Arabidopsis thaliana: one gene and its partners. The protein of the gene in region 1 interacts with the protein of each later gene in a pairwise test. Each region holds a gene or a part of one and is shown in the gene's direction. Other genes may lie near its edges.

Region 1 (3,756 bases):
CAAATCATTCCACTATTTGAAATTAGATTTTTCTTGTAATAGTTAATTTCCAAGTAAAATCGAAAGTTATCAAACCAATTCATATCAGTTTGTTACTAAAAAGCTAATAACTGTTAACCTGCAAAATCCTTTTATGTACTTTGTTTTATGGGTAATATTCAAATTAGAATAAATTTTGTGTAAAATCTGTGGGTTCTTCTTATTTAAAATCTGTGGGTAACTTTAAATATTGGGAAATTTACTAATGGAAAGGCATAAAGAAATGAGGACCAGCCACGTCATCAAATCAAAGTATCACATTCCTCTTTTCTTTTTATTTAAAGAAATTAAATAATAGAAGAAGAAGATACCAAAACTCTCTTTTTCTGTGCAAACACTTTGGAGGATTCTTCTAGGCTTCTTTCTACCACAAACACAAGAGCGCGTTTTCTTCACGCCGGCGAACAACGTCAGAGTCATGGCCACCGGAGATGGGAAATCGGTGATGGTCGTCGGAGTTGACGACAGCGAGCAGAGCACTTACGCCTTGGAGTGGACGCTCGATCGTTTCTTCGCTCCTTACGCTCCCAATTATCCTTTTAAGCTCTTCATCGTCCACGCCAAACCTAACGCCGTCTCCGCCGTTGGTCTCGCTGGTCCCGGTACGCTCTTTGCTTTCACTCTCGAATCTACTCTTCTAGGGGTTCTGTTTTGGGCAGCGATGGGGAGAGATCATTTAGGTTTTGTTAATCTGTGTGTTTTAGGAACTGCGGAGGTTGTACCTTATGTTGATGCTGATCTGAAGCATACCGCTGCTAAGGTTGTCGAGAAAGCCAAAGCAATTTGTCAGAGCAGATCGGTACGATCTTGCTATTATCAAACATTCAAATTCGTTTTATGTGTTTCTTGGATTTTATAATCGTCATCATGTGTTGTATTGGACTCTATTAGATGAGTTTGGTAATGTGAATGTGAATCTCTAGCACATTTAAGAGCTTCAAGCTAAGTAGCACTGGTTTTTCTTATAGTAACTATCTATCTTTGGTTAGCAACTATCTTCTTCTTTTCAATCATCATTCCTAGGTTTGTTGTGTAGGTTCATGGCGCGGTGATCGAAGTTTTCGAAGGTGATGCAAGGAATATCCTATGTGAAGTTGTAGATAAGCATCATGCTTCTATTCTTGTTGTGGGAAGCCATGGATATGGAGCTATCAAGAGGTATTATTTCATTCAGCCTTAATTCTTATGATCAATCTTTCAACTATACACCCATTCTGATTCACTTGTCGGTTTGTGTGGCAGGGCGGTTCTCGGGAGTACGAGTGACTACTGCGCTCATCATGCTCATTGCTCGGTGATGATCGTGAAGAAGCCTAAGATCAAGGTCTGAAACCTAAGGGAAGGCTACTCGGTCAAAGCAAAGTCTCTGCATAGTCTTCTAATTCAGAAGAATAAAGTGAAATAATATTAGCTTGATGTGAAACAACGATTCAAGACAATATACATTTGCATCTATATGTGTAATTGTTTACTACATACAATGTTTTGGTATCCTTAGACAATCAATATTCGTGTGTTATAATATGCTAATCTTTCTCATAACAAAATGGATGTGAAAGTTATAATAAACTTCATATGAAAGAGACTAGAGAAGAAAACAAATCAACTAAATAGAGATTAATGATTTAAATGAACAAATTTATAGTTTGGTTGTTGGTTCAGATGGATGGATGGTTTGATGATCATCTATCCAAAACTAAAGTAATAAAATAATAATAAAAAATTATCCACAATGGGAGAGGAAAGAAAAGAAAAGGGAGAGTCCAATGTCATTGTCCGGTTTTGAACCACGTCATCTCTAACAGGTCGGACGAGAGAGAGAGAGAGAGAGAGAGGAAGAGGAAGGATAGATTTACCGCATCGGCGTTCCAAAAGGCAGACGAACTCGGAGAGACAGATAGCGATAGCGAGACATGGTTTCTCATTGATTTTTGTTTGACAATCCTTTCTTTTCTTTTTTTTTGTTCTTTCGAAAAACGAAAATTTTCGTTGGTTCCCTCCGATTTGGCCTGCTGGTGAAGATATGGCCGGAGCTAAAGATTCGGGTTGCGATGATGATCTCCGAATTGCTGGTGGATGTGACCCTGGAAAACGCGGGAACCCGGAGGATTCCTCGTCTCCTGTCGAAGTCTCGTGCTCGATTTGCCTCGAATCGGTGCTCGATGATGGTACCAGATCCAAGGCTAAGCTCCAATGTGGTCACCAGTTCCATTTGGGTATTTCATTCCCTTCCTCCATCTCTTACCATTTTGCGTTCCCTCCATCACAGTTTGATGATCCGATGGCTTTTTGCTTGTACAAGCTTTTGTGCAATTATCTGATGGTAGATTTGGACGATAATTGAATGAATTTGAGAATATAGATGGATTCCTAATCCCTTGCTTTGTTTACAAGCTTAGATTGCCACGACTCTGCAGTTGGTTGATCCTAGAAATGATCGAGTTCTGACAAATGTGTGTCGTAACTTGTGAATCGGTTTCTTCTCTTGTGTAGATATAGAATGAGGCTTGCTAGTTCTATTATCTGGCTGCTGAATTTGTTGCTATTTTCGGCTTTCCCTTTAGCAGCTTGTTTTTTGGTTTCTTGCAGATTGCATTGGATCAGCATTTAACATGAAAGGAGCCATGCAATGCCCTAACTGTCGCAATGTCGAAAAGGGTCAGTGGTTGTATGCAAACGGTTCTACTCGCCCCTTTCCAGAGTTTTCCATGGAAGATTGGATCCCTGAAGAAGACTTGTACGGTTTAAGCTATCCGGAAATGGTAAAAGCTCACTACTTTGTGCAACGATATGCTTTCTTTTCGTGTACATGAGAACTGTGCTTTTATCATATAACCTCCTTATGAGAGATCGCTTATCCTGACATTTTTACGGGGTTTGCAGCAATATCGGGTCCATTGGTGCCCGTTTGGTGAACTCTCTCAAGCAGCAGCTTCTTTCGAGTAAGCCTACAACACCTTTACCATGGTTTTTGCTATTATCTCTCTTTTCTAAGGCTTTTGATCCTTCAAACGCGAAAGCTAGAATTGACTTTTGCTCTGTGTTTCAGGGAACTGGAACCTGCAACCACTACATGTAAGTTAGACGCTGATTGTTCTGTATATAATCATTTCATTTTGTCTAGCAATCCGTTTATAATGTCAAAACCCATATTTCTTCCTTAGATCATACTGAGTTCCATGGACATCACGCCGCTGCTGTGAATCATTCGTATCTTGCATATGTTGGACCTGGCCCAGCCGCTACCCCGAGAACTAGCGACAATAACAGCACAGATGATCATCCCTGGAACAGCCACTCTAACGATCACTTTCACCAGCTTCCTGTTGCCCCCCAGTATCATCACCATTCCCCATCGTTTTCACTACCCGCTGCTCATGTGGTTGATGGTGAAGTTGACTCTTCAGCAGCACGAGGCCTACCTTATGCGCATCCATTTCTTTTTAGTCACCGGTTAGCTTCTCAAACTCCCTATTGCTCTCAACTTCTTGCAGAGTGTTTTACAATATTCTTTTGGAATTGGGCATTGTAGGTCTAATCAAAGGTCCTCACCAGCAATTAACAGTTACCAAGGAAGCAGCACCCAAATGCGTGAACAGCATCATGCTTATAATCATCAGAGGCAACAACATCATGCCAATGGTCCCACTCTCGCATCACCTCTCATCTCCATGACAAGAAGGGGATTACCGCCGCCGCCACCTCCCCCACCAATGC
Region 2 (3,756 bases), on another chromosome or scaffold:
TTCTGACACTCTTAAGTTTTGGCAACCGGCTAAAACCAGTCGGAATGTTCATTTGACCTACCCCACTCAATAAACATTTCCAAAGAAAAAAGAGATTCGTATGGACACAAAGAATAGATATTTTTAGGTCATTTTCATTTTTTCGCCCGTAACCTGTGTTAAGAACATAATACGTTGTTACGTACATTTTATTTCTATTTTTAATAAACAATAATTTCCTTTGATTGTAAAAGAATCCCCCTTTATTGGCTTTTGTTCTTTCCTATGTCTTCTTGTACTCAAAATATATTTTGTTTTAGACTTTCGAAATTATCCATTTTGGAAACCTATCCATTTCTTTGTTGATCTCTTTGTATCACATTGCTCTCAAGCTATGTAGTAGTCTTAGAGATTTAGACAATACTAATGAATACAAGATACCATAAGATTTGATACAATATGTTTGTGTTATCAACGTTTGATCGGATATGTGTTTTTTTTCTACTTATAGCTATTCATTCAATGAAAATCTAAAAGAAAATTGAGACACAGTTGATGCAGAGATAATTTTCTCTAGCCTTGATAGATTTTTACAATGTGATATTGTAGGAACTAGGAAACACATGCTTCATTTTTATTTAGGCCATGAATGTTTGTAGTTTTTAAAATGGTTTTTGGATTTTGGATTTTGGTTTTTGGTTTTTAGTTTTTGATTTTCTTGGTTTTTGTTTTTGGTGTAGATTTTAGTTTCTTAAAAAACTTGAATGGTAATTTGTTTAGATTTTGGTTTTTATGTTAATGGATAGTATTTTTTTTACAAAACAAATCTAAAAATAAAATAAAAAATGTGATCGATTGTTTTTGAGAGAGAAACTCCCAAAACATAGATTTTGGTTTTCTTTGAAAAATTGTTAAAACACTCAAAAACTAGATTTCCTATATTTTAGGAAAACTTGTTTTCTCAAAATCTTGAATGGCTACAAAATAGATTTTAGAAAAAATTAAAACCAAAAACTAGTTTAAAAACCACACTCATTCAAGGCCTTACTAAAACTTGGCTACAAACAAGGCGAAGATAACATACATCATTCAATTTCAATAGTAATTAATGTGTCAAAACCTTAGAAATTAAAACAAAATTTCATCACTATGTCCAGTAAGAAAAACTAAAGCTATCAAACCTGATGTTAGTGATTTTTTTCCCCATCATCTTTAACTATTTTCCATACACATTCGTTTTTGTAATAATAACAACTTCTTAAAATGATATAACTTTTGTTACTTTATGCATGTAATTGTTGATTATAGCTAGCTTCTACACCTTTTTCTAACATGTGACACATTTTTTTTTACATGTGACACATTTGTTACGTTGGTTGGATACTTGTTATCCATATAAATCAATAAAAAGTCATATTATTCTATCTCACTCTTTTAAGTCTTTACAGATTTTTGTTTGTGAGGAGGACGTAGCTGCAAATATAGGACCCGCCATTAAATGAAAACAAATGCTTTGTCTTCAAAGCTATGAATATGTGACTTCAAAGTGTTTTTTGGTTTTTATGTGTCTTCAAAGTTGTGAATATAATAGTGTAGATTCGCTTTTCTTTACCAATCTTTGTTTGCAGATTAATAATAAGATATACTATATAGGATACAAAAACGAATTTCGTTTGATTCATTCTATAAATTTGAATTACTAAATCACTTTAGTTGAGTTTGTTCAAGGATAAAAAGTGAAACCCCAATTAAATTTGATGATTTTCAGATGTGTTTACAAAATGTTTCGAAGAACACGCTTCAAATTGATTTAACCAAGATGAACACATCCATTAAATCCTCATTCCATGAACAAAATGCACCTCATTGTCCCTAGGCCTTAACAGATCTATTTAGTACTAATACTGTATTTAATAACTTATCTTGGTAAAGAAATCACAGAAAAGCTTAACACATACAGTTTAAACCGTAAATTTATCATAGTAAAACTGTAAAAGCACTAATCATAAATTTAAACCAAGCTAATAAAACAAAAACAAGTAGCACGTTTTTACTTCAAACCGGAAACAGGCAAAACCGGTATCAAATTGCCGAGAAAGATGGAAGGAATAAATAAATGTTAAAATGTTCCTTTGTTGCCACTAACCCACAGGCTTACGTCCCATCATCATTCCCCGTTCTCTTTTTATTTTCTCTAATCGCCGACGATTATCTCTTTCGTCCGGCGATAGCTATTTTGTCTCTTCAAATCCCCATAGACCAATACTCAACTCTTCATCTCCATGTCTCCTCAATCTCATTTCTCTCCTTAGTGATTGAGCTTTTTCCTTCTTTCTCTTTGGTTATTATTCCTTCTCCTCCTCCGTCGTGTTTTTGATTGATTTCAGAATCTAAATCTCCGTTTGATTTCTCCATACTCGTGCTGATTTTCACCTATGTAATGTGATTTATGAGCTCTGTTTATTTCAAATCGACGGCGATCGTTGAATTTATTGATCAATGTGTAAGTAAGAGCTTGAAGAAATAGTTTTTGTTGTTGTTGTGAAAGCTCAGAGTTTTGTTTGCTTTTTTGTTGACTTTTTTGAGATTGATGCTGGATCTCAATCTCGACGTCGACTCGACCGAGTCTACTCAGAACGAACGAGATTCGATTACTGTTAAAGGGGTTTCTTTGAATCAGATGGATGAATCGGTGACGTCGAACTCTTCTGTTGTTAATGCTGAAGCTTCTAGCTGTATAGATGGTGAAGATGAGTTGTGCTCTACACGAACGGTCAAGTTTCAATTTGAGATACTGAAAGGAGGAGGAGAAGAAGAAGAAGAAGATGATGATGAAAGAAGTGCTGTGATGATGACTAAGGAGTTTTTTCCTGTTGCTAAAGGCATGAACTTTATGGATTCGAGCGCTCAAAGTTCAAGGAGCACCGTTGATATTTCCTTCCAGAGGGGGAAACAAGGTGGAGACTTTATAGGTAGCGGGAGCGGTGGTGGCGATGCTTCACGGGTGATGCAGCCACCATCACAGCCGGTGAAGAAAAGCAGGAGAGGTCCTAGGTCTAAGAGTTCTCAGTATAGAGGCGTCACTTTCTATCGGAGGACAGGCAGATGGGAATCGCATATCTGGTATATCTACTACTGATTGATTTATCTTTTAGATAGGTCTTAGATGAGTTGTTGATCTTTGGTCGAAAATGGAAGAGCTTGGTTTAGATTTTGTATTAATCTACAAGTTTCTTTTTTGTCAATTTTCATGGTTGCAGGGATTGCGGTAAACAAGTTTATTTAGGTATGGATTCTAATGGCTGTACTACTGTGAACTGATTTCTGCTGGGATCTTAGTTCTCTAATAAAAGCTTTAACTTTTGAATTCAATAGGTGGATTTGATACTGCCCATGCTGCAGCTAGGTAATGCCTTTGGAAATGATATTTTTTTGTTTGATCTTATTGATCACTCAACTGTTTTTTCGTTATGATACAATTGTTTCCTAAGTTCAACTTTCGTTGGTGTAGGGCGTATGATCGAGCTGCTGTCAAATTCCGGGGTCTGGAAGCTGACATCAATTTCGTTATTGGCGATTATGAAGAGGATCTCAAGCAGGTTTTGATTACAGATGTACAAATGAAGACATGTACGCTTTGATTTGTTCTTATCTGGTTTTCAAACTTTACAGATGGCGAATCTTTCCAAAGAGGAAGTTGTGCAAGTACTTCGGCGACAGAGCTCTGGTTTCTCAAGGAATAATTCTAGATATCAAGGAGTTGCTTTGCAAAAGATT
Region 3 (3,756 bases), on another chromosome or scaffold:
CACATTAATCTAAAGGAACACTGTTATTTACGGTTTCTATTCAACAGCTAAAGCCCACCGAGATACTTTCTCTGCTCGCAGCTACATGGGTCACAAATCGGATCTATGCAATCAAATGGTGTTGTTGCACAAGTTGTTTGGTTCTCTTGAAATTTTATAAAGTATACATTTTGATGTGGTTTGCTGGATGTACTAGCAATCTTCTCTTGTATTCATGCTTATGCTCTCGATGTAGACTAAACTGGCGCATTTGTTTATACTTTATATATTTTATAATTTATGTAATAAAAGAATTTTTTTATGTGATGTTATTGTTTTTATAATTCTTGTCACATGAAGGCGATGAAAATTTTGCTTTCTCGTTTAGTTTGCTATTAAGATGACCTTATTATTGTTGTGTGCTTTGGGATATCTAAACCGATATTTAAATTTAAGTATTTTTAAAATCGAAGTTGCTTTATTTTCTTTTCGTCATAAGGGTTCGTATCATTTATAGAAGATTCTTTTTAGATTAAGGCTTGGAATCGATTCCCCTCAACTGTGTCACTTTTTTTTTTTTTTTTTTTTTTGCACACACTTTTATGGCAAAAAAGAAAACCGAATTTCTATGAGCCGGGGGAATGAGTCAAGAGTTCAGTAAACCAAGAAAAGAGAAATGAAAGAAGTAAAAGCTGGTCCCTAAAAGAGAATTCTCTTCGAACTATATAAATAGTAACATCCGGGTACATGTGTGATCAGTGAGTACACACCGACCCCCACGTACGTTCGTAATGAACCCAATTCCCTGATAACTTTCACCTAGTTTTAGATTTTTTTTAGTTACTTATCATAAATTTTACCATGACCCATTTTCTGCTCCATAAATGTTGTACGTGTCTGTTTCATTACTACAGTATTGTTTATTTTTTACAATTGTTTTTAAAAAATAAATTGAAACGGGTCTTTCATTTATTTAGATCAAAGGTTGTCCAAGAGTTTTAGAAGAGCGACGACATCACAAAAATTTGTTTCATGATCAAGATCCCGTGGGCAAATAGATCCTTAAAGAATCTAATCCATATGAATCAGAAAAGGTAAAGATTAACGGAACCGAGACAAGACATGATTAATTCTTTTAATAAAAACCAATTTGATCAAAAACTTAAATTATTAGTATCGAAAAGAAAACTGTACCAAACTAACTAATATGTTACATATTATATGTACTACCTAGATTAGGTTGAGAAAGCTATAGAATTTCTTTTAAAATCGAAAAACTGAAAATCTCAATGAAATTGGAATTGAAAAAAATCGTAAGTCCTATATATTAATTAAGTGCACTATTTGGAAAAGCACTTGTGGGAATTTAATAAGAAACAAAAGTAGATATCACAGGAACCAGGCGGAACAATGGTTTTGAAGGAAGTTTGTTGGGGAAATGAATATATACAAAAAAAAACTAATTTATTGCATTTTGTTCAAGGACCTATTTCATTGTGACCAAATTTAGCAAAAAAACAGTGGCATTTTCGTGAACTAGTAATTTTTCAGAGTTTGTCAAAAAAAAAAAAAGTATTTTTTCAGAAAGTATTGTGTACCAGATAAAATTACACAAAATAAACTACCATATTTACGAAAATGCCACCCATCCACTATGTAAATTAGAAAAACCAAAATATGAATATGGAGAAGTACATTTTCTCGGAGAAAACTATATACTTAATTAGTAATTTATCAAAATATGAATACGAAGCTTTTATGTTATGTATTCGTGTATATATATATAATCGAAGTCAATAATTTAACCTCCAACAACCTTGCGTCTGTCTAAGCATCTATCATAGATCATGCATTATAGATCCATAATCTTCATCCGATACAATCTAACACAATTAATTCCACACCGTTAGTGAATAATATTGCGACTTTTACATATAATATTATATTCAATCCGTTCATCATTCTTAAGTCTTAAGAGACCAAGGATAAGCTATCAACCTTTCTTTAGCTCTTTGATAATTAGAAGCTATCAATCAACCTTTCTGACATACAACAAATAGAAAATTTAATGAATTGCCATAAAAAATAAGAACCAATCAGTTTTATATAAATGTTTATCTATCTCTCTAAAGCCTCATAACTCTATATATCGCCCAGTCTTTTTATCTCTCTGACTCTCTCTCTATGGACGAGGCTACCGGAGAAACAGAAACTCAAGATTTCATGAACGTCGAATCCTTCTCTCAGCTTCCTTTCATTCGCCGTCCTAAAGATAAGAACCCTAAACCCATTCGTGTCTTCGGAAAAGATTTCACCGGCAGAGATTTCTCTATTACTACCGGTCAAGAAGACTACACCGATCCTTACCAGACCAAAAACAAAGAAGAAGAAGAGGAAGAAGACCAAACCGGAGACAACAGTACGGACAATAATAGCATCAGCCACAACAGGAGATTCGAGTGTCACTATTGCTTTAGAAATTTTCCTACTTCACAAGCCCTAGGTGGACACCAAAACGCTCACAAACGCGAACGTCAGCTTGCCAAACGCGGTGTTTCCTCTTACTTTTATCATCCTGACAATAACCCTTACAGTTACCGTCATTACCCGTCGTGGACCAATGGTCCGTTAACCGCGGCTAGGTCCTATGGAGGATTTTCTTCTGGTCCTAAGCCGTCGGGGTATTATACACGACCCAGCTATGGGAGTCAGTTAGGACTATGGCGTCTACCGCCTCGCGTTCAAGGCGTTTATAACTCAAACGCAGCGTTTACTAGTAATGGCTCTTCTTCTTCTTCTAATTCGACTTTACCGTTGTTGACCCGTTCTCAAACTCAACTATCATCGCAAGTGGGTGGCTCCGCTGCTCAGAACAGAATGTCATCGTACGGTTACGGATTGAGCCCTAACGTGCAAGATCATGTGAGTCTCGATCTTCATCTTTAAAGATTTGAAAACAAAATAAAACTCTTATTGAGTGTTATGTAACTTAGTGCAAGAAAAAACAACCTAAGTTATTGAATATTACGTAATCTTTAACGATTAGACTTCTTATTATCTATACCTATTCCCTTATTGAATGTTTTGTAAGGTAAGAAACGGCACGATGTGTAAGATTCACGGCATCGATCTTTCTTTTTTTACCCATACGTGCTTGAATGAAGGAAGGGAATTTATGAATTTACGTGTCCACATTTAATATAGCTTCGAACACTATCGTTTTGGTTCAGGGAAATTGTCAGTAATAGACTCATAGCAGTGCTTACTAGTTACTAGGGTATTTAACTATAACCGCACAGTGACTCAGATAGAATTTCAACGATAAAATGATAGAATCTTTACTGTACGGAACTAACAAGTAACAAATACAAAAACAAAAATTAAACCTCTCGAGTACAAATCTTTTTACGAGGGTTTGAAACGAATCTAATGGACACTGTACTCATCGCCATCTCCTTGAAACAAATAAAACTCAAGATGGGTAATAAGTAGCTAGGTAATAATTTTAGATGATGCCAATGATGATAATTTGGTGCGTGTGGGTAAGTGAAGACAATGGACAAGACAAAAGGGTATAGAGAGAAACAAAGTGAGTGAAGTGGTCCATAAACACACAGATGTAGAGTTTACGATAGAGATTTCTCATCTGTACTTAATGTAATTACTATTCTCGTAACTTGCAATTTCGAGTAAGAACATAAAGAAGGAGCTAAAGCAAAGCAAAATTCCTCAAGCTTTCTACTTTTGTGTTTATTTCTTAACTTTTCTTTTAGGTAA

What was found.
Region 2: the proteins of RFI2 (region 1) and TOE2 interact in binary tests that used the Arabidopsis thaliana proteins (3 or more experiments, as listed by UniProt).
Region 3: the proteins of RFI2 (region 1) and GIS interact in binary tests that used the Arabidopsis thaliana proteins (3 or more experiments, as listed by UniProt).

What each region holds. Positions count from the first base shown.
Region 1 is NC_003071.7:19,552,658-19,556,413, reverse strand, and holds the start of RFI2 (RING/U-box superfamily protein), read left to right. Parts: upstream 1-1,766; 5' UTR 1,767-2,062; coding exon 2,063-2,255; intron 2,256-2,628; coding exon 2,629-2,801; intron 2,802-2,922; coding exon 2,923-2,981; intron 2,982-3,088; coding exon 3,089-3,114; intron 3,115-3,203; coding exon 3,204-3,492; coding exon of another isoform or gene 3,493-3,571; coding exon 3,572-3,756. Other genes in the region: AT2G47710 (Adenine nucleotide alpha hydrolases-like superfamily protein), read left to right, coding at 458-641, 744-838, 1,076-1,197, 1,282-1,369. UniProt on the Arabidopsis thaliana protein: Mediates phytochrome (phyA and phyB)-controlled seedling deetiolation responses such as hypocotyl elongation in response to red and far-red light. Required for light-induced expression of LHCB3 and CHALCONE SYNTHASE (CHS).
Region 2 is NC_003076.8:24,205,584-24,209,339, forward strand, and holds the start of TOE2 (target of early activation tagged (EAT) 2), read left to right. Parts: upstream 1-2,105; 5' UTR 2,106-2,569; coding exon 2,570-3,102; intron 3,103-3,239; coding exon 3,240-3,265; intron 3,266-3,354; coding exon 3,355-3,385; intron 3,386-3,490; coding exon 3,491-3,578; intron 3,579-3,651; coding exon 3,652-3,756.
Region 3 is NC_003074.8:21,506,014-21,509,769, reverse strand, and holds GIS (C2H2 and C2HC zinc fingers superfamily protein), read left to right. Parts: upstream 1-2,030; 5' UTR 2,031-2,163; coding exon 2,164-2,925; 3' UTR 2,926-3,198; downstream 3,199-3,756. UniProt on the Arabidopsis thaliana protein: Probable transcription factor required for the initiation of inflorescence trichomes in response to gibberellin (GA). Mediates the induction of GL1 expression by GA in inflorescence organs and is antagonized in its action by the DELLA repressor GAI.